Linked DNA regions of Pelodiscus sinensis. The protein of the gene in region 1 interacts with the protein of each later gene in a pairwise test. Links are inferred from orthologs where the notes say so. Each region holds a gene or a part of one and is shown on either strand. Other genes may lie near its edges.

Region 1 (10,278 bases):
CAGCATCAGTTTGCCCCTTCCCCCTCCTCCCAGAGCTGGGAGTAGACCCCAGGAACACTGACTGTACCTATTAGGCTCGATGTCACCCTGGAAGTGACCTCTTTTAGCCCTCAGACATAGCCCCTTCCATTCCCCACCCAGCCTGTCTGCTTAATACAAAGCTGCCCTGAAGGCCTTTACAGTTCGTACTATCTCTAACCATGGTGGCTAGACACTAGCTGGGGGCTCATGCCCTCCCATCCCAAAGGCACAAACCCCCTTAGGCTTTAGGAGAATCCCCATTGGTGATTGGCAGAATAGTGTCTAGGAGACACAGCTACGTTCCAGCCAGCATTGCATTCAGCAGGGGCAAGTGATGCAGGCAGCACAGCTGATTTGGTGCAATGGGCAGAGGGGCAGGTACCTTGCTAGTGCCATGCCATGCCCACTGTTTGCCTCGTGCCCAGACAGAGGGGTGCCCATGTGGGTTACTTATGTGAGAAGGGAGCTAATGGGGCAGAGCAGAACAGGATGGTTTAGAGTCATTCCCATGTCCCATAGCCTTTTTAGGAGCTAGAGAATGTCAGGGACAGAGCCCAGGGCATGGGGCAGAGGAAGGGACTTGCAGCTCATGGGGTGGGGGATGGTGATATAGACCCTTTCCCCTCCAGTTAGTGCCAGTTCCAATCTAGCCCCCAGCTGGCTCCGGGGTATGGGGTTGTAATATGGGGCCTTCTTCTCTAGAAACCCCAAGCTTGGATCCAGCCCAAAAGCCGTTGTGGGATGGCTGCTTCTGTGCCTGCCAGAGTAAAGTGAGTTTGCTGGGTCATAGCATGGGGGTCCCCTCCCCACCTTGGCTCTAGTCCGTTCCCTCAGCAACAGAGGCCAAGGGCTCCGAGAGGCAGAGGCAAGGCACCTGCTGGGGGTGGGACATCACAGAGGGCTCTGTGCTGCCACTCTGGGCACACACTGGTGATTCCAGCTCCCAGGGCTGCTGAGTCAGCACGATCTGGCGTGTCCCTGCGTGTGAGCAGCAGGGGTGTGTGCGGAAATCCCACCCGCAGATAACCCGCCCTTTGTCCTCCCCACCCTTGACCCAGTTTCCCTGGCCTTGTGGGTCCCTTCCCAGCCCTGGTGTGCAGGTGTCACCCGCAGGGTATTGGTGCCACCCAGCCCTGGGGCAGCAGGCTGGCCGCGCCTTCTGTGTCAGAGAGAGAGCACACCTCAGGGGCTGGGCATGGGAGCGGAGCTTCCCAGGCCCCCTGCCAAGGCTAGTGGCTACAGCAGCTGGGGCTGGGCGCCAGGATGCCTGGGTTCTGTTGCTGGTACTGGGAGGGAGGGCAGGGGAGTATAATGGCCTGGGGGTCAGGACGCTGGGTACTGTGGGCAGTTCTGGGAGGGGAGGAGGCAGCTGGGGGTCAGGACGCTGGGTTCTGTGGACAGTTCTGGGAGGGGAGGGGGCAGCTGGGGGTCAGGACGCTGGGTTCTGTGGGCAGTTCTGGGAGGGGAGGAGGCAGCTGGGGGTCAGGACGCTGGGTTCTGTGGACAGTTCTGGGAGGGGAGGAGGCAGCTGGGGGTCAGGACGCTGGGTTCTGTGGGCAGTTCTGGGAGGGGAGGAGGCAGCTGGGGGTCAGGACGCTGGGTTCTGTGGACAGTTCTGGGAGGGGAGGAGGCAGCTGGGGGTCAGGACGCTGGGTTCTGTGGACAGTTCTGGGAGGGGAGGGGGCAGCTGGGGGTCAGGACGCTGGGTTCTGTGGGCAGTTCTGGGAGGGGAGGGGGCAGCTGGGGGTCAGGACGCTGGGTTCTGTGGACAGTTCTGGGAGGGGAGGAGGCAGCTGGGGGTCAGGACGCTGGGTTCTGTGGACAGTTCTGGGAGGGGAGGGGGCAGCTGGGGGTCAGGACGCTGGGTTCTGTGGGCAGTTCTGGGAGGGGAGGGGGCAGCTGGGGGTCAGGACGCTGGGTTCTGTGGGCAGTTCTGGGAGGGGAGGGGGCAGCTGGGGGTCAGGACGCTGGGTTCTAGCCCCTGTGCGGCAGCTGTTGGCACGCGGACGGCAGGCGCCGCAGCTGGCAGTGGGGTGGGGCCGGCAGCTGTCGCAGGGCCGCCCTTATGCAAGAGGAAACGGCGGAATCTCAGCACCCTGGCCACGGGCTGGGGTGAATGGCGGGGCCAGGCGGGGTGAGCGCGACCGTGACTCAGCCCCGCCGGTTCTGATGACTCACCGGGCATGACTTAGCACCCTGGAGCTCCAGCGGGAGCCATCTCCCGGTCTGCCCTGCTGCCGTAGCCTGGAGCCCCCCGCCCCCACTACACGCATCCAGCTGCTGTGGGAAGGAGCTGCCTGGGGTCTGTCTTCAGTGGACTGCCTGGGTCCCCCTCTCCCACGGCTCCGAACAGCCCAGAGAGGGAGGCGAGTCGTAAACCCAGCTGGCCCTGACCTCCTCCTCAGCTGGATTTTCAGCTCCGTGCCCGTCCTGCGGGACACGGACGGAGGAATCCGGAGATGAAGTGGTTGCCCAAGAGCTGGCCCAGAACCCAGCAGTCCGGACTCCCATCACCCCCAGCCGTAGAGCTCAGGCGTCTGCCTTCCCCTTTCCAACTCTAACTCCTAAACCCCGCTCCCCTCCCCGAGCTAAAGTGCTGCGGGTCTGGCCGATCCACCAACCCGCTGAACTTAGATGCCCTGCTGCATGTGCTTCCTCAGCCCCCTCCTGGATGGGGTATACTGTGTGTCATAAACCCTGTAGGATGACATTTGACGGGGAGTCCCCCCGACTGGAACAGGGTCTCTGGGGTGTCTCATTACGGTGGCTGGGCGGTGGGCAGGGACACGGACACCCCAGGCCCCCACAGCGCAAGATCAGCGTAAGGCTCAGTCAGCTGCCGGAGTAGGGAGCCCCCCCCCCCCATCACTCTGCTGTAGAGCGCCGGGCGGGGGAAACCCCTGCATTTTTCTGCTGTCTGCACGCGAGTGCCTGCGTGTGGGGGGGAGGGGGCAAACAAGCAGGCGCCACGCGGTGGGGTGAATCAACCCGGAGCATTAGTCACCGGGGCTCCCCCCAGGAGGGAGAGTGAGGGCTCCCCTCCCCCCGCTCCTCCAAAAGAAACGAGAGCGAAAACGAGAAAGGAAAGGGAAAGCACAGCATGGGCAGGCGGGACAGAGCCTGCGGAGGGGATCGGTGACTGGCTAGCGGGCAGGTGGCGAGCTAGGTGGGTGAGGAAGGAAGGGAAGGACAATCAGAAAGTGGCATGAATAGACAGCTGGGGATGAGGATGGCTAGAGAATAGATTAGACAGGAGAGTGGGTATGACAGACAGTGAAGGAATGGGGGTAAACCAACAGACTGTGGGGGAATGAGGGTACACTCATAGACTGTGGGGAAATGGGGTGGACTCACAGACAGTGGAGGTGTGAGAGTAGACTGATAGTGGAGGAGTGGGTGTACACTGACAGACTGTGGGGGTATGGCGGTAGACTGACAGACAGTGCGGGTATGGGAGTGGACTGACAGTGGGGAAAGAGGAGCTGGAACAATTTGTATCATGGGGGCGCTAGAGCCACTGTGAAACCAGTACCCTCCCAGCGCTTCTGGAGGAGGTGTGCATGGGGACTGGGCACTGCCGGGCAGACATCAGGGGAGGTGTGCATGGGGGCGGACAGACAGACAGGTGCGCATGGGAACGGGCAGATGGGGAGGTGTGAATAAGGACCGACAGACGGACACAGCGGAATAGGTATGGGGATTGGAGACAGATCGACTGCCCCCTAGTTCTTTTCCCTTTGCCCCGCTTCCCCCTTACCTGCTGCGGCTGCCCTGGTCCCGGAGTCCCTGGAACGACGGCCGATCCCATGCTGCGCAGGGCAGGGTGCTGAGGGCGAGGGTTGTACGAGGATCCCGGGCCATCCGTACTGCCCGCTCCATAGTTCCTGAACATGTCTAGATCTGCTCTGGGGCCGTAAGATGCCGGGTCAGTCCGCCAAGCGCTTCTCTAAACTGGCTCCCTCCAAGTTACTTTTTTTATGAATGGGTACTCCAGGACCTGCTCACTTTAGTCTAGGCAGGGGAGGGGCGAGTCCCACCTCACGCCCTTTTCAAGTCATCAGGAAGCAGAGAATCCCCGCTCCAGTAACCCACTCTGGTGTTTCTCAGACTTATTCAATTAAGATGCACCCTTTTTAGGGGAATCAGAGTTGGTGAGCCCCTAAAAGGACAACCAAGTCAATCTTTCCCCCTTACTCTAAATCTACTTGGTACGGTCTGGGGATTGACTCAGTGCTCGATGACGTAGATGTCCATATATAGTATGATTTCCTCTGGCTTGCTCTGCAATAGTAAAGGATTCCCCTCGGTGTTTGTTTCCAAACTCTGTTTGTTCAAGATGCGTATCGGAGATCCCGTCGCAGCACTGCAATAACAACGCCACACAAACAAACACCCACACCTATACACTTTCACATACACCCCGAACCTCAGGCAGGTGCAACACCCAACACCGCTCACATATGTACAACCACCCCACTCTTACTACAGCACACACCCTGCACACCACCACGGCGTGCACCTCTGTACCACACACAGCTGTGCAACAACACGTCCATCCCCTCACAACCACGATGGATGTGGAGCTACATGCATCGCTGTTGCACAACTACAAGCATCGTTGTTGCACACAGAAATACACACATGGGCACCTTCCACACCCCGCGCAACAATAAACAGGCCTAAACACGGACAGACAGACACTCCCATCAGGCCAGGTAGATGGTTTTCACATGTCAAAGATACAAAGACGCAGCGAAAGACACTCTCCCCCCCCCCCTCCCTCCCTTCCCCAGCGTCCAATACATGAATTCGGGGCTGGCTGGATAGGACCCCAGGAGCAATGCGGGCCGGGCCCTGTTTATAGGTGCTCGCTTTCCCCCCCCCCCCCCCCCCCCCCCGCACATGCCTGGCGCTGCCAGGTTTTGGGGCCCAATGAGATGATTGTAAATCCCGTGAATCCCCATTTCCCCCAGCGGTGCAGGAGCTGGAATTCCCCCCCCCCCCCAAGGTTAGAATAGGAACACCCAGCCCAACCCAGGCGTATCCCCCTGCAATCTGGCTGCGACCTCTCCTCCTGCAGTACCGCAGAGCCCCTTGCTCTTTGAACAGAGACTAAGCCTGACTCCCCCACCCACCCCTGCTGAGACTCTACAGTCTCCCCTCCCCGTAAGCGGCTGGAAGATGCCCTAGTGTGGAGAATGGAAGTGGCCAGCTAAGTGGGACTCAGAACTGTATTCTGTCCCCAGCTTTGGAAGGAGGGAGGGGGGCCTATTGTGTTAGAGCAGGGGCGGGGGCCAAGGCCCCTGGACCATCCCACCCTAGCTCTAGTTAAGGAGTGGGGTCAGGTGGGTTAAAGTAGAGGGGGCTGGGGTCCTGCCTCCTGGTTCCACCCCCAGCTGGTGGTTTCCCTCGCTCCGAGTGGGCTGCGGGGGTGTACATTCCTGACGCGCAGCAGACGCCTTTGGTCAGAAGCAGGAACTGAAAGCGCCTACCAGCGAAACTGGCAGGGCTGGGCCCAGTGCAGAGAGTGAGAGCATGTCCGGCTCCCGTCCCGCTGCCCCGCGGAGCCAGAGCGCCAGAGTTACCTCCCGCTACTGCTCGGAGACCCCGTGGAGCGAGGGACCCCGTTGTGCCAGACACAGCACAGACCCAGGGAGACACCGTCCCTGTCCTGAAGCGCTCACTGTCTAAACAGATCCCATGTGGAAGGAGAAAATAAGGCACAGAGAGGAAGAGGCTCCTTTAAGGTCACACAGCAGGTCACTGGGGGAGCAGGGAATGAAACCCAGAGGTCCTGTTGCTCAGAGTCCCCTGCCTTAACCGCTAGAACCCCCTCCAACCACCAGGAAGAGAACCCCAGGGGTCCTGGCCGCTTCCCCCAACCTCCAAACAATCAGTTCTTCTGGGCCGTGGCCACAGGGTGGGGGCCAGTGACTCCCCGACCAATGCACCATGATCCCTAGGGTCTGGCCCTGTGCGGGTTAACAATCCATCTCCCCAAGGACCAGGACAGGATGTGAGACACAGGAATGCAGCTGATCTCATGCTCCCGGTGACTAACCTGGCAGGAATGGGGGGCAGAGAGCAGCCAGCTGGCACCCTGCCACTGGCCTTGGGGACCAAGGAGAGATCGGGAGCTATGGCTGACTCCCATCCTAGCTACTGTCCCCCCTGCTCCCCGGTATTTAAACCCTTAGCACAGAGCAATGCAGTCATCCCATTTCCCTGGAGACTAGCATGGGACAGATGCTGGGAGGCTGCAGGTTGGGACTGAGTGTCACCGGCAGAACCACATGGGGAGGGGGAGCCCAGGATTGGAATAGCAGGGAGCTGCAGACTGGCATTGAGTAGCACTGATGGAGGGTGCAAAGCAGGGGGCTGCAGGCTGGCACTGAGGGGAACAGGCAGAGCTGGGGGGGGGGGGAAGCCCAGAGCAGAGGGCTGCAGGCTGGCACCGAGGGACACTGGCAGATCTGGGGGGGGGGGGAAGCCCAGAGCAGAGGGCTGCAGGCTGGCACCGAGGGGCACTGGCAGATCTGGGGGGGAAAGCCCAGAGCAGAGGGCTGCAGGCTGGCACCGAGGGGCACTGGCAGATCTGGGGGGGAAAGCCCAGAGCAGGGGGCTGCAGGCTGGCACCGAGGGGCACTGGCAGATCTGGGGGGGAAAGCCCAGAGCAGGGGGCTGCAGGCTGGCACCGAGGGGCACTGGCAGAGCTGGGGGGGAAGCCCAGAGCAGGGGGCTGCGGGCTGGCACCGAGGGGCACTGGCAGAGCTGGGTGTGTCCCAGCATTTCAAATTCTCCGGTCATCTTATTCCGCCTTTGAAAGCAGCAGCAGTTTCCGGCGGATTCCTGGAGAGCGATGGAGCTGGGGGCGGGGGGTTTCACACAGGCTCCCTCCAGATCGGCACGTGGCACTCACAAGTGTGTGTGGCTGCGAGGCAGGAGGCAGGGCCCCTCCGTGTCTATGGAAGGAACGGGCCAAATCCCAAACAGGAGACGGCCGAGCGCTTTGTGTGCTCATCCACTTACTCACCCTTCCTCTTCCTCCTGACTTTACTCACTTGGCGACTCGGGGTTTGGATCCCAGCCTAACCGGGCACAGCTCCAGGGCTGGGAGAGCAGAGGCTGCAAGTCGGGATTGAGGGGCAGTGGCAGAGACGGGAGGAGGCGATCCAGGGTGGGGGGAGGAGGCGATCCAGGGCGGGGGGAGGGGGCTTTAAGCTCGGCTCAAGAGCCACCTCTCTGGGACTCAAGGACAGCAGGGAACCAGCGTTACCATCTCCTGAGGACACGCAGAGCATGTTAACCCCTTGCTTGCTAGAGCAGAGGGACTGTGGGTGCTGCAGGGCTGTGGGGCGGAGGCTGCCTGAAGATCACCAAACATGTACACCGCCCCCCCACCAGCTGGTGAGTTGGCAGGGCCACTTTCAGCAGTGGGCTGCGGGGGGATAGTCCTTCCTTATCTCCCCTCCCCCACAGTTTAGGGCCCTCCCTCTGCTCTGAGGCTCAAATACTGTCAGGCTGAGGTGCTACAGCATGAGAGGCCATGAGTCTGCGGGGGAAGGGGTATCTCTGCCCATCCCAATCGTGGGCACAAGGGCTAGGGGTGCCAGTATGCACACCAATGCCGCCCAGAACGCAGAGAAGCCCCAGGCACCCTGACACCCCCATGCTGCTCTAAGCTAGCAGTCCCCATAGCCCTTCCAGCATCCCAGTAAATCATCTGCCTGGGTTGGCCTAAGAGAGAGGCTCATGGTCTGTGCCTTTCACCAAAAGCAGTTTTGCCCCTTCCTGTTGCTCCCACCTCCCTTTGGCCCTGTCCCCTGAAGCCCTGCCCTGCTTCCTACCTGCCGTGCTATGTAGAAGATCCCTATGAGCCAGGACTTCTGGGTTCTATTCCCAGCTCCGAGAGGCCAGACAGTTGCATGGCAGCCCCTTAGCATGAGGGTGGGTCCCTCCTTGGGCTTGAGGCAGATGGTGCCAGGCTGGCATACTGAATTGCTGGCACCATGCCCAGCCAGGAGACCGTCCTGGAGCAGCGGGTGTCTGTGGAGCAGGAGGGAGCATTCAAGTCAGTTGTCTTAGTGCTGAGAGATTCTTGTAGAAAAGTCAGACTGGGGCTATGTCTACACTACAGAGTTTTTCTGGGATACCAGAGTCCCAGAAAAACTCTGCTGTGTCCAGAGAACACCTCTGATCTTCTGAATTTTTTTCAGAAGAGCAGATGCACTTTTTCAGCATTCCTGTAAATCTCGTTTTACAAGGAAGAAGGGATGTTCCAAAAAAGATTTTTTTTCTGACATTTAGCCCAGTGTAGATGGACCAAATGTTGGAAAAGCCTCTTCTGAAAAAAGAAGCGGAAAAAGCTACACAATTTGCACTTCACAATGTGCATAGCTTTTTCTGGAAGAACAGTGTAGTGTAGACATAGCCTGCGTGAGACAGAGTGAAAGAGGGATTGGATACAGGGCCTTTCTCCTCTTGGGGCACTGGATTTGATGTGACCCCAGACCGGCTCAGGGGATTGGGTAAGGGGCTATAGAGCCTCTCACCTCTAGGGGATACCTGACCCCATATAGACCTAAGTCATTCATAACTTCAGGCCATTCACAGCTCTGCTGGTGGACTGAGTTGTGGGCCCCATGCCCTGAGGTGTCTGCATCACACCAACCCAAACAGAGAGGCCAAGGGCTGAAGGGTCCACAGAGAACCACTTCCCCTTCAGAAGGGGGCTACAGCAGGCCATTTGTGGAAGAAGGTCTCCATGCTGCAGCCCCATTTTAGGACAAGTATAATCCAGGGCTACGTCTAGACTGGCATGATTTTCCGGAAATGCTTTTAATGGAAAAGTTTTCCGTTAAAAGCATTTTCGGAAAAGAGCATCTAGATTGGCGCAGAGTTCACGTTATAACAATGCGCTTTTGCAGAAAAGCATCCGTGCCAATCTAGACGCACTTTTGCGCAAAAAAGCCCCGATAGTCATTTTCATGATCGGGGCTTTTTTGCGGAAAACAAATCTGAGCTGTCTACACTGGCCCTTTTGCACAAAAGTTTTGCACAAAAGGGACTTTTGCCCGAATGGGAGCAGCATAGTATTTCCGCAAAAAGCACTGATTTCTTACAGTAGGAAGTCAGTGCTTTTGTGGAAATTCAAGCGGCCAGTGAAGACAGCTGGCAAGTTTTTCCAGAAAAGTGGCTGATTTTCCGGAAAAACTGGCCAGTCTAGACACAGCCCAAGGGTTTATACTTGGCCTCTCTGTTTGGGTTGGTGTGATGCAGACAATGTTCCCTCTAATCTTTTCCATCCATGTGCAGAATCAATTTTTATGTGCATTGGGGCATGTGTGAATGTGCACCACAAGTAGAAACAAAGAATCTAGCTGTGGTGCTCTGCTGATCAGCTGAGCAGCATTTGAATCTCTCCTCAGACGCTGCAAAGGAGCACAGCTCATAGGGAACACTGCCCAGGACCAGCAGCTCTGAGTTGGTACTGTGACCCTGGCACAACCCAGATCTCATCTCTTCCCTCTCCACTAGATCCTCAGTTACTGTCTCATCCCCCTCTGAATCACTCCAGGTCTCTGGCACATTCTCTGTACCCAGGAGCTTGTCATTCCAATCCCATGAGCTGGGGGATCTCTGGCATTTAGGGAGATTTCCTGCCCCAGCTCAATGCTCCCAGCTTGCAACTATTAGCCAAATAGCAGCAGGTCTCTAGAGCTAAGCAGAGTCCAGCTGAGTCAGTACTAGGTTGGGAGACTTGTACTTCTGGGGGGGCTCCACAAATAGTCCTAGCCAATGACAAACAGCACCCTTTGAGCAGGACAGGGAGCTGACAGAATTGCTGGGCCCAGCGGCAAGGTGGGGGCTGTAGGACTGGGACAGTCAGCTCTCAGTGCTACCGGGCACCAATTTAAAGGGCCTGGAGATGTTGCCACAGTGGTGACCAGAGTCCTGGCAACTTTTGAATTGCCAGGCTCCTCAGCAGGTGCCTCCTTTGCTCCACCATTGGCAGGCCTGGAGCAGGGAGGCTACTTGCCACAACTGGCACACAGTGCACACTCCTTGTGGGACTGCAGATGGCGACCTATGCAAAGGTTCACATCTAGAGTGTGCAGGAACACACACATCAACACGGTCACTCAGCTGCACACAATAATTGCACATTCTCCTGATTGCACAATCATATGCAATGCCAATTACACAGAATGCCAGTTTCAACACAATCACACTCACCAATTGCACACACACTTATAT
Region 2 (10,149 bases), on another chromosome or scaffold:
CTTTTAGGAAATGGACAAGGTGAGAATGTTCCTCTCTCCCAAATTCAACCCCAGGACTTTTCCCTGCCTCCTGTTAGTCTGCTGCCCTTAGCTGCAAAGGCCAACTGGATATGTCACAGACCTACAGCAGTCAGGTGGGTTGTACGGTAATGGGCAGCAGCCAAGGTATGCTGCTGGAGCCATGCAGGACAATCTGCTGCTTAGAGCTATCTCCTTGTAATTTCAGAGAAACCACCGGCACTAGTGCTGCTTGTCCCTTATTTACAGTCACTAGGCTCACCAGAGAGGCCAAGGAATGAGCCAGCCCTAATAGCTGGGCTCCTTTCTGATGCTCCCTTCAGGGCAGGGTTAGCAAGTGGGGAATGTTGTGTCTCTGCAGCCCAGCCTGTCCCTTTTCTTTGGGCAACAACACTGCCGAAAGGCCTAGAAAATCTATGGTAGGAAACGAGGCTATGGCCGATGGCCTAGATGAGATATACAGGCACGTCCAGCTCTAATTTTGCATCTTCCTGCCTTTAATATGAAAGGAGCAGCTGAGTCCAGGGGCGGATTGTCCCGGCAGGATACCAGGCATTTCCCAGTGGGCCGGCGGCCAAAGGGCCAGCTGGCGGCTGCTGGAGGAGAAGGGGGATAAACCCGGCAAGCTGCTCCTGGGAGTGGCTGCTGGAGTTCTGGCTCTGCACGGCCCTCCCCTCTCCGCTCCTCCCCACTCCAGAGGCATAGCGAAGGGGGGTGGGGGTGGGGCAGTTGCCCCCGCTTTCCCGGGCACCGGTCTGGGGTGGGACCAGAGAGCACATGCTGCTCTTGGGTCCGGGAGCTGCCGTGGCTGAGTGGCTCTCTCCAAACTGCAGTTGAAGCAGCCAGCTGGGTGGGAGGAGCAGTGGTTTTCAAGGTATGTTCCTCTGGTGCTTGGCTGGGGGGAGGCGGGGGAGGATTTGATTGGGGGAGTGCTCCCCCCGGCACTCACCCCTCCTCCTCTGGGGCAATGCTCCCCCATTCACCTTCAAAGCTGCACAAGCTGCATTTGTGCACGCACCCCCAGCAAGCCACGCAAGCTGCATTTGCGCGCACACCCTCCCTGGACAAAAAAAGGGGGGGGGGGGGCAGCCAAACCATTTTTTGTTTGGGGCAGCAAAAAAACTAGAGCCGGCCCTGGATGCAGGGAAAGATGGAGGGGCATGCAGAGGTGACATCAGGGAGAGGGCCGTTCTCAACCCATTTCCCGGGCCTATTTTGATTGCTAGTCTACCCCGGCTGAGTCCTTGGGTTTCTAGTCTCCCAACACCGCTCCAGTCAGCATTCCTGTTTCACCAGTTGTGTCGGGGACTCCAGTATTTTGTTAACCTGAGATGGCAGCTGGTTTGGGTTTGACAAGGATTTGTAGCTCCTGCCTCCTCTTCCCGGATAATAAAGATTGTTTGGAAGCAATCCATGCAGTTGTGGTGGTAGCTTTTCATACAAGAGTCTCTGATCCTGTGCTGCTGAGTCCCAGATGGGCAATCCAGAGATGTCAGGTTTGTCAGAGTAGGGCACCACCGGTGCGTGGGTTTGTCTGGGCTGAACAGGGCCATGTTGTGCCTTGCTCGTATAGGGCACAAAGGGCTCCTTTGACTGTAAAGGGTGTGCAAATGAGATGAGTTCAAAAGGCATGTCCAGTGTTACCATCAGCTAGAATTTAACCCCTGGACTTCGGCAGGAGAAGATCTGGGTTGAAATCCAGGCTAACTAGGAAAATGCGTGCCTGGGTGGGGGCGGGGAGGGGAGGTGTTAACCCAGTAAGGGCTGGGACCTTCATTCCCATGGTCTCACTTTGCCTAAATCACTAAGGTGCCGATCCTGCAAGGAGCCCATGGGCTAGCCAGACTGGAGTAGCAAGGAATGGGGCAGGTTGGTGTTTCATCAGCGCTAGTTGGTCAGAAGCTAGGCCCACTGCAGGGCAGGACCGAGGTGCAGCAGCAGCAGACTGCGTGAAGCCCCACACTGGAAGAGGTGAGGGTTGCAGGGCAGGAGAGAGGCCCACCATTGTAAAACCTATCTCCCATTTCCTTCCACCCAGGCCTGGTCCCCCTCCTCTGGCAGTGCACAAGAGGCTTAAGGTGAAGGGCAAGGATGGGGAGCCTCAGGCCCGGCTTGCCTGGATCCAGACCTCGACACTCAGGGCCAGAGCCTGGACTGGTGCACACAGGGGCAGATGAGGATTTTGCAGGACCCAGGGCAGCACAATTTTGTGGGCCCCCCCCCCTTTAACATGGCGCATGCACGGTGGCATCATGGCGCATGCGTGGGGCTTCTTGAAGCGTGGGGCCCGGGGCGGAACTGGAAAGGGAACGGGCAGGACAGGGTAGGGATGTTAGGGTTTGTATGATTAGACAGTTGACAACCCTAATGGAACCGGCAGCAACCAGGGCCAGATTCAGGCTCTAGAGATTCCTTTTCAACAAAACCACACAGAACAATTAATTATGCAAATTAAGCATGGTGATATTCTACTCCACGCTTCATTTGCACAAGCTTTTGCGGAAAAAGGGTGCCATATAGACATAGCCTTAGGTACCTTCTGTTGCTATGTGACTGGATTCGGCCAGTCAGTATCTTAGGTTGCATGCACACTGTAACTCAAAATAAGATAAGCAATTTGAGCTATGCAAATTGCATACCTTATTTCGATACAATTTCGAAATAGCTTGTTTCATCCTTTCGCGCTGTCTCCACAGTGCCAAATTTTGAAATAAAGCGATATTCTGAAACATCCCTTACTTCTTGTAGAATGAAGTTTACTGGGGCATCGGACTAACGAGCCCGAAATAATGGGCTTGCTGTGAAGACGCAGGATAGCTATTTCAGGGTACTCCGAAATAACGTTGCAGTGTAGACATAGCCTTACTGTCAACTCACAGTGATGTGTGCGTGAAAGTGTGCACTCCTGCACACAATCGCATCCTTTCATACCCTCCCCAGCTCTTCCATTTAAGCCCCTGACTTAACAAGGTCCTTTCAAGATGAGGCTGACCTACTCATTTGGGACAGATTAAACTCAGGCCTGTTCCCAGTAAAGATAAGAACACTGAGAACAGTTCATTACTTCCTGCAGTCAGTATAAAGAGATCTTTGGGTCACTGTGGTTAGTTATCTAAAAACATCCTCTCCATGTGCAGCAGCAGTCAAAAAGCAAACAGAATGTTGGGAATCATTAAAAAAGGGATAGAGAATAAGACAGAAAATATCTTATTGCCTCTATATAAAACCATGGTAAGCCCACATCTTGAATACTGCATACAGATGTGGTTGCCCCATCACAAAAAAAGGTATCTAGGCATTGGAAAAGGTTCAGAAAAGGGCAACAAAAATTATTAGGGGTTTGGAATGGGTCCCATCTAAAGAGAGATTTAAAAAGACTGGGACTTTTCAGCTTAGAAAAGAAGAGACGAAGGGGGGTATGATAGAAGTCTATAAAATCATGACTGGTATGGAAAAAGTGAATGAGGGAAAGTTATTTACTTGCTCCCATAACATAAGAACTAGGGGTCACCAAATGATATTAATAGATGGCAGGTTTAAAGAAAACAAAGGGAAGCTTTTCTTCATGCAGCGCACAGTCAGCCTGTGGAACTCTTTGCCAGAGGATGTGGTGAAGGCTAGGACTTCAGGGTTCAAAAAGAGCTAGATAAATTCCAGGAGGATAGGTCCATCAATGGCTATTAGCCAGAATGGGTAGGAATGATGTCCCTAGGCTAGTGATTCCTAATCTTTTTCCCATGGAGGAACCCCTAAAATAATTTTTCATATCCCGAGGAACCCCTACCTATGAAAACATTTGCTTGGCCAGAAAAAGTTGACAGCAGGAAGCGCAATTCAATTTATTCAAATTATTGTCAAGAAAATTTATTTGTAAAGAGCTGTTTATATATATATATATATAGGGCTCGTCGAGCGGCAGCAAGCCCCGCTCGCCAGCCGCACGGTTCTGCGCTCTGCGCATGCGCAGATTGCTCCACACTGGCTCTTCTGGGGTTTAATCTACTCGCCACGGGCGAGTAGATTACACTATTTGTCGAGCCCTGTATGTGTGTGTGTGTGTGTGTATATATATATATATATGGCTCGACAAATAATGTAACTTACTCACCCATGGCGAGTAGATTACACCCGGGAAGAGCCGGAGCAGAGAAATCTGCGCATGAGCAGAACCGTGCGACTGGTGAGCGATGTGTGTGTGTAATATAACCTTAGATATGAACTGACCTAAACAGAACAAAGAGGCAGTTGGCAGTGTACAAAGATTACTCCAGTATCGCCAATTGCTGGAAAAAAATTCCCGCGATATTTTGAAGGATATTTGGAATTGTTCGCGGTATTTCAAAATTTTTATTTATTTATTCCACAATTTCTCACAGAACCCCTGACGATGGTCTGCGGAACCCCAGGGTTCTGCAGAACCCTGGTTGGGAAACACTGCCCTAGGCTCTAGCAGAGGTTGGAAATGGGTGACGGGAGAGGGATTATGTGATGATTCCCTGTTCTGTTCACTCCCTCTAGAAGGGCCCCTGGCATTGGCCACTGTGGGAAGACAGGATCCTGGGCTAGAGGGACCTTTGGTCTGTTGGATGTTCTTCTGTAACTGGTCACTTTGGGCAATTCAGCATCTGGCTGCTGGACAGGGAGGCACAGCCCGTGTGTTCATGTACCCATTAGTGGGCATGTACTGACGGCTCCCGAGGGCTCCCCCTCCCAGCTCTGCTGTCAGTGGGATTCATTCAGGCCCTGCTTACAGAGGGGTACTTCCCCGGGGGTTAAAATCCCTAATTCGAGGGGAAAGAGCTGAACAAGCTCAGTATCAGGTGGGGGACCCTGATATGGGGCTGAGGGGATAAGCCCCTAATGTCGGGGGGGTCAATATACTAATTATGGGGAGGGTTAGCCTCCTAACTCTATATAAGAAAGAAGTAAAAGGGGCTCAGGAGCAAAACTCCCAAGCCCCCATCAATCCATGGCATTTATATGGGGGGAGCAAGCTGTCCCCACTTCTTGGGTAGCCAAGGAGACAGGCAGCTAGCCAGAATGACGTTTGCCCCTGGCAAAGATGGCCGAAAGTGTGTTCTGCCCTCATTCAAAATGGCGTCTGACAGACGCCGGAACACAAGGTCGTCTCCGGCCCCGGAAGTCGGGGTGCATGAAGCCAGCCCCCACCGGAAGTTGGCGTAGAGAGCGCCCCGGATTAAGATGGCGCCCGCCCGAAGCAGCGAAAGGCAACGCGACGCACTAAAATGGCGCCCGCTTGGGAGCCGTGACGCAAGGTGCCCGGCACTAAGATGGCGGCGGGGGAAGACGGAGCCAATGCGCCCCTGACCAAGATGGCGGCGAGTGGTGGCGCAGGGAGGGGCGGGGCCGGGTTACCGCCCTTGTTTCCGCCCCGCACGGTAATGGCGGCAGCGGCGGCGGGAGGGGAGGGGGCGTTGAGCGAGTGCGCATGTGCACATCTCCATGGAGAGAAAAGGGGCTGAGGGAGCGAGCGGGATAAAGGGAAAAACCAGGTAACGGGGCCGCCGGGGGAGGGGCCACGCGCTGCTGGCGCGGCCCGGCGCTGAATGGCCGGGAGGTGCCCAGCCTCGGGGGCGGCACAGGCCGGGCTGAGCTAGGGGTGGGCTCAAGCGGGGGGAGGGGCCTGGCCTCCCTCCTTTCCCCCCTCGGGGTTCCTGGGGGGGGTGTTGGCGGCACCCGGGACTGTGGGGGGTGGGGCCCCCTTGGGGCTGGAGGGGCATCTCCTGGGGCGCCTCGCTCCCCCTGCTCTAGACACTCCCCCCACACCTGTCTCCCCCCCCTTGTGAGAGCCTCGTCGGCTGTGGGGTCCCCCTCAGCGCTGCCCCGCTCTGGGGGGTGCCCCCCTCGCTGCCAGCTGCCCTGCGAGCCCGGCCCTGCTCCGAAGATGAGGAGCCCGCTGTGCGACCCTGAATGGGCGAGACGCGCCCGGCTGGATGCGAGGCCCAGCGAAAGCAGCACTAGGCTTAGCTCGCTGCCTCATCGCTTCTCTGGCCTCCTCCTCCCTGGCCGCTGCCCCTCACTGGGCTCCCAAGAAATTATTGGAGGAATCCGTCTGGTGCCTGTCAGACGGCATCCCTCTTCTCTCCTCCCCTGCAAGGTGTGATTGGTCCATCCCCTCGCAGTGCCCCTGTTTACACTATCCCGGTGAACCCTCCTTTCTCTGTAGTCAGTCCGTCCGTCACCAGCCACATCTTATCAGGGGCTGCTTACGCTGCCTGTCTCCATGCACAATAATAAAGGCTTCTGCTGTTATCTTGTATCGCTGACAGCCCTCTGCACCTGGGATGGAATTGTTTGCTTTTCTTGTGCAGAGTTTTTGTGATGAACTGGTGTGTATGTGTGTGGGAGTAGGAGCGATCTGTTAAGATTGTGCTTTGTTTATTTTCCCTTTTATGCAGGCCTTATATACAGTTTACTTTTCTGTTCTAATGTTTAGATTGTTGCAAATGCAACACAAACTCACTCCCTCAAAAGAGCTTACAGCTTGTCTAAACACAAAGTAACACTGGTTTAATTAAAGGTATGATTTAAATTTGATGGATAACCCCATATAGAGCATCTTAAAATGATTTAAACCTGGCTTGTATAGGTTTACCTTACCTTTGGAAATTGCTAGGCACAAACTAAACCATGCAGCTAGTTTTAAAGTGATAGAGCAGTGCAAATCCTTTTGTGGTCACTTCTAACTGACATTTGCCTCTAAGCTTGTGTGGGTTCTTTGTGTAAACAAGGCCTTAAAATCTTTTGCAGAAACTGCACTGGTTTAAGCAAATTTCACTTAAAAATATTTAACAGTTGTAGATCACTCGTGATATTTATAACCAACACATCATATCAGTTTGTGCATGTAAACTTACTGACACAAGCTAAACCAACATAAACCAGGTTTAAATCAAATTAGAAATGTCTATGGAGTTTTTGTTCGTTTAACTAAATAGGTTTTTAAAAAAAAACCTTTAGTGCAATTTTGTTGTTAGACCAGTTCTTAGACAAACATGATGTACAGGATGGCAACTTCAGGACATTTTGTCCAGTGATATTATACAAAGAATTGTTTGAAGGTGGAGAGGTGAGATGCTTTGCATGTATGACTGGCCTCAGCATAGGGAGTGGCATAGAAAATATGCAGAGCCAGGAGTTGGAGAAGGTGACAAAGAGAGCAGGTGAGAGGGAGAACTAATATCAGACTCCTGTTGAGTTTTATGTAAGGGTTAGTGGAACATTGAACTTGACTCAGGTGAAAATCCAATGCAAGAGGGGAAGGTAGCAGATTGCTGGGGGTAGTTTAATCCATAGCTCTGGATTGGAGGGAGGGAGAGGTGAATAATACTTAGGCAGATTCCTAAATTGAGGAAAAACAATGAGCAGTCTTGTAGCATCTTGGAGATTAACATATATAATAGTATCATGATCTTTTGTGGGCAAAACCCACTTCCTCAGATGACCACTCTGTTCCTGTGAGAGAGTGGGTTTTGCCCACACAAACTTGCTTTTTTTTTTTTTTTTGGAAGTTGCAGACTAACAGAACTACCCCTTTGGGACTCCTAAAGTCAGAGTTTTACAAATCTCTCTATAGGCTTCCACTGAATCAACAAGCAGTTCATTAAAATATCCTTAAAACACCATTGGAAAGTCTTTCAAATATCTAACGCCTTGATCCTGCAATCTGCTGTGTGTGGGTGGACTCTTACAGTAGACATTGTGGCTCTTCTGCGTATAAGGCCTCCTTGCACATTGGTACCTAACTTATTAAACTAATCATGCTGTCTGGTGTATTAAAAATAAATCAGTCGTGTGTGTTTGTGCCCAAGGTGCATAAAAGTGAGTGCCCCGCTGGCTGTGCTGTTTTTATTTAGCAAGAGTATTCACAGACCTGAGCGGAGGAACTTTCTGCTGTTAGTACATAGATATTGTACTAAGATTAGCTTCTGCATATATTTAAATTGTTGCTGTTGAAACAAAATTATCTGCTATATTTCACTTGGTCATAAAACAAACAAACAAACCTGTGCCCAATAGAAATGCTTAAAGTGTGTATTTAAAAAGTTCTGCTGTACAATTCAAAAGTAAATAGATGCTCCCCTGCCCTGTTGAAACACAAGCCCTGAGCTATCAAGAATGTGAAAGTGAAACTGTTCTCCAGAGTCCAAATGGGGAGAGATGATTAAAGGAGACATAAAGTGAGGGTCAGAAGATGGTTTGATTTTTGTTTTCACCTCTGAAGTGATTTTGGTGACAAACTCACATTTGATCCATGAATTTGACTTGGTAACTTCAGCTTTGTTTAAAAAGATCTAACAAGATATGCTTGGGAGGTAAAGATTATTTTTAAAATGTGTTTTTGGAGGGGAGACTGGGATGGGAAGATGGAAAAGTGAATCTTACAAGATCATGATATTTCTCTACAAGTCTGCTTCTCTGAGCCACTTCCACTGTCACCCTGCAGAGCGAATATGGTTCAGAGTGTTGGATCTTCTATGGAGGATTTCCGAGTTCTTATTTAACTGTTTATCAATTGTCTGATAGAATGGTCTCTTCCTTAAATGATACTGTCTAGTTATCAAACCATTTATTAACCTTAACTGCAAATTTCCCACTCATAATGTCTCAGGTTATTAAAACGTGGTGCTACAATGATATGAGCAATAAATAATAATGATAAAATGGGTATTTAAAAATCTGGAGATTGTCAAAGTCAACTTGCTGGTGATGAGTTGGCAGCTTTCCCTGGTGAGCAGGGTGGTAGGAGAGACTAGAGCAGGGGTGAGCAAAAGGGCATGGAGGCCCTGCTGCTCCCCTGCCCCCAGGCCAGCACGGCCTGGGGGCGGGGGAACACCCAAAGCCTCCTTCCAGGGCTTTGTGTGCTCCCTCGCCCCCAGGCCAATCAGGACCTGGGGGTGGGGGAGCTGCGTGAAGCTTCCTTTGCCCTGCCCTGGCCCTGCAAGGGTACTCTGGCACTTCAGAGTTCCACGGGCTCCTCGCAGGGTAGGAGGAGGCTTCCTGCACTCTTCTGCCCCCAGGCCCTGATTGGCCTGGGGGTTGCAGAGCGTGCCAAGCCGTTTCCAGGGCATGAGTGCCTAGTAGGAAGGAGGGGCAAATGGACTCCCCACCCCCAGGCCAATCTTGGTCTGGGGGTGGGGTAGCCCTTCCCCTTCCTGTTTAGGCCCTGCCCCTTCCCGATGTGGCCTGGGGCTACTTCAAAATTTTTTGAAGTGGCCCCCGGGCAAAAATTATTGTCCACCCTGGGCTAGAGCATTGACTTCTGTAGAATTCTGTAGCTCATGATTTTGTTACATTTAACTTTTTGAATGATTGCAGTCCTTCTGACTGCAGAGGAAACCGTCCAAATGGGACCGTCAGCAGTTTGTGCTGTCTTGAGTGTGTGGATTGTCCTTGCTGCATCTTGTCCAACCTTCCCAAGCAAGGTTGGAGTGAAATTAATGAGACTGGTTGCTCTTTATGCAGCTGGGCAGAGCACTGTGGTAGTAGAAAACGAGTTGTGTTGTCATATATGCTGCTTGAAAAAGTTGTGAGCTGAAGTAGCACTAGAGCTGGTTCATGGGAAAGGAGGGCTCAGAAAAGATGCTGGGTAGGGATAGACCTCCGTCTTCTTGAACTGACTGGAGTAGAGCTAGAGCTACTTTCTGCTGCTGCTGCCCCACATAGTCATGAACCTTGGGAGCAAAGAGAGCATCTTCTGGAAGGCAGGACTGCAAATATATTGCACGGACTGGTCTTAGCTAGAGGCACCACCAGAACCTGGTAGCAATGCCAGACCGCGTAGCCTTTCATTCCATGGTGTTCAACGTGTTCTGTAGTGAACTAGCCATGGTCAACCAGCCAAACAGCCACATTATTCAAGACAACTAGCCACACTCAACTGGCCAAATAGCCACATGTGGACACCACAGCTTTAATTTATGCTGTGCTTTTTATTCATAAATCCCAAGGTGCATTACAGCTGTGAGTGCTGTCATCCCCATGTTATAGATGTGGAAATTGAGGCACTATAACTGGCCCAAGGTCGCACAGCTAGCGAATAGCAGAAATCTAGAAATCTGGGGTCCTGACTTTGCTGCCCAGTCTGGGACCCTAGGCACACTTTGCAAA

What was found.
Region 2: the proteins of FOSL1 (region 1) and USF1 interact in binary tests that used the Homo sapiens proteins (3 or more experiments, as listed by UniProt). The link is inferred for Pelodiscus sinensis from reciprocal best matches to the Homo sapiens genes FOSL1 and USF1.

Annotation. Positions count from the first base shown.
Region 1 is NC_134721.1:32,504,173-32,514,450, reverse strand, and holds the start of FOSL1 (fos-related antigen 1), read right to left. Parts: upstream 4,113-10,278; 5' UTR 3,914-4,112; coding exon of another isoform or gene 3,901-3,913; coding exon 3,779-3,900; intron 1-3,778.
Region 2 is NC_134734.1:13,985,416-13,995,564, forward strand, and holds the start of USF1 (upstream stimulatory factor 1), read left to right. Parts: upstream 1-5,300; 5' UTR 5,301-5,417; exon of another isoform or gene 5,418-5,531; intron 5,532-10,149.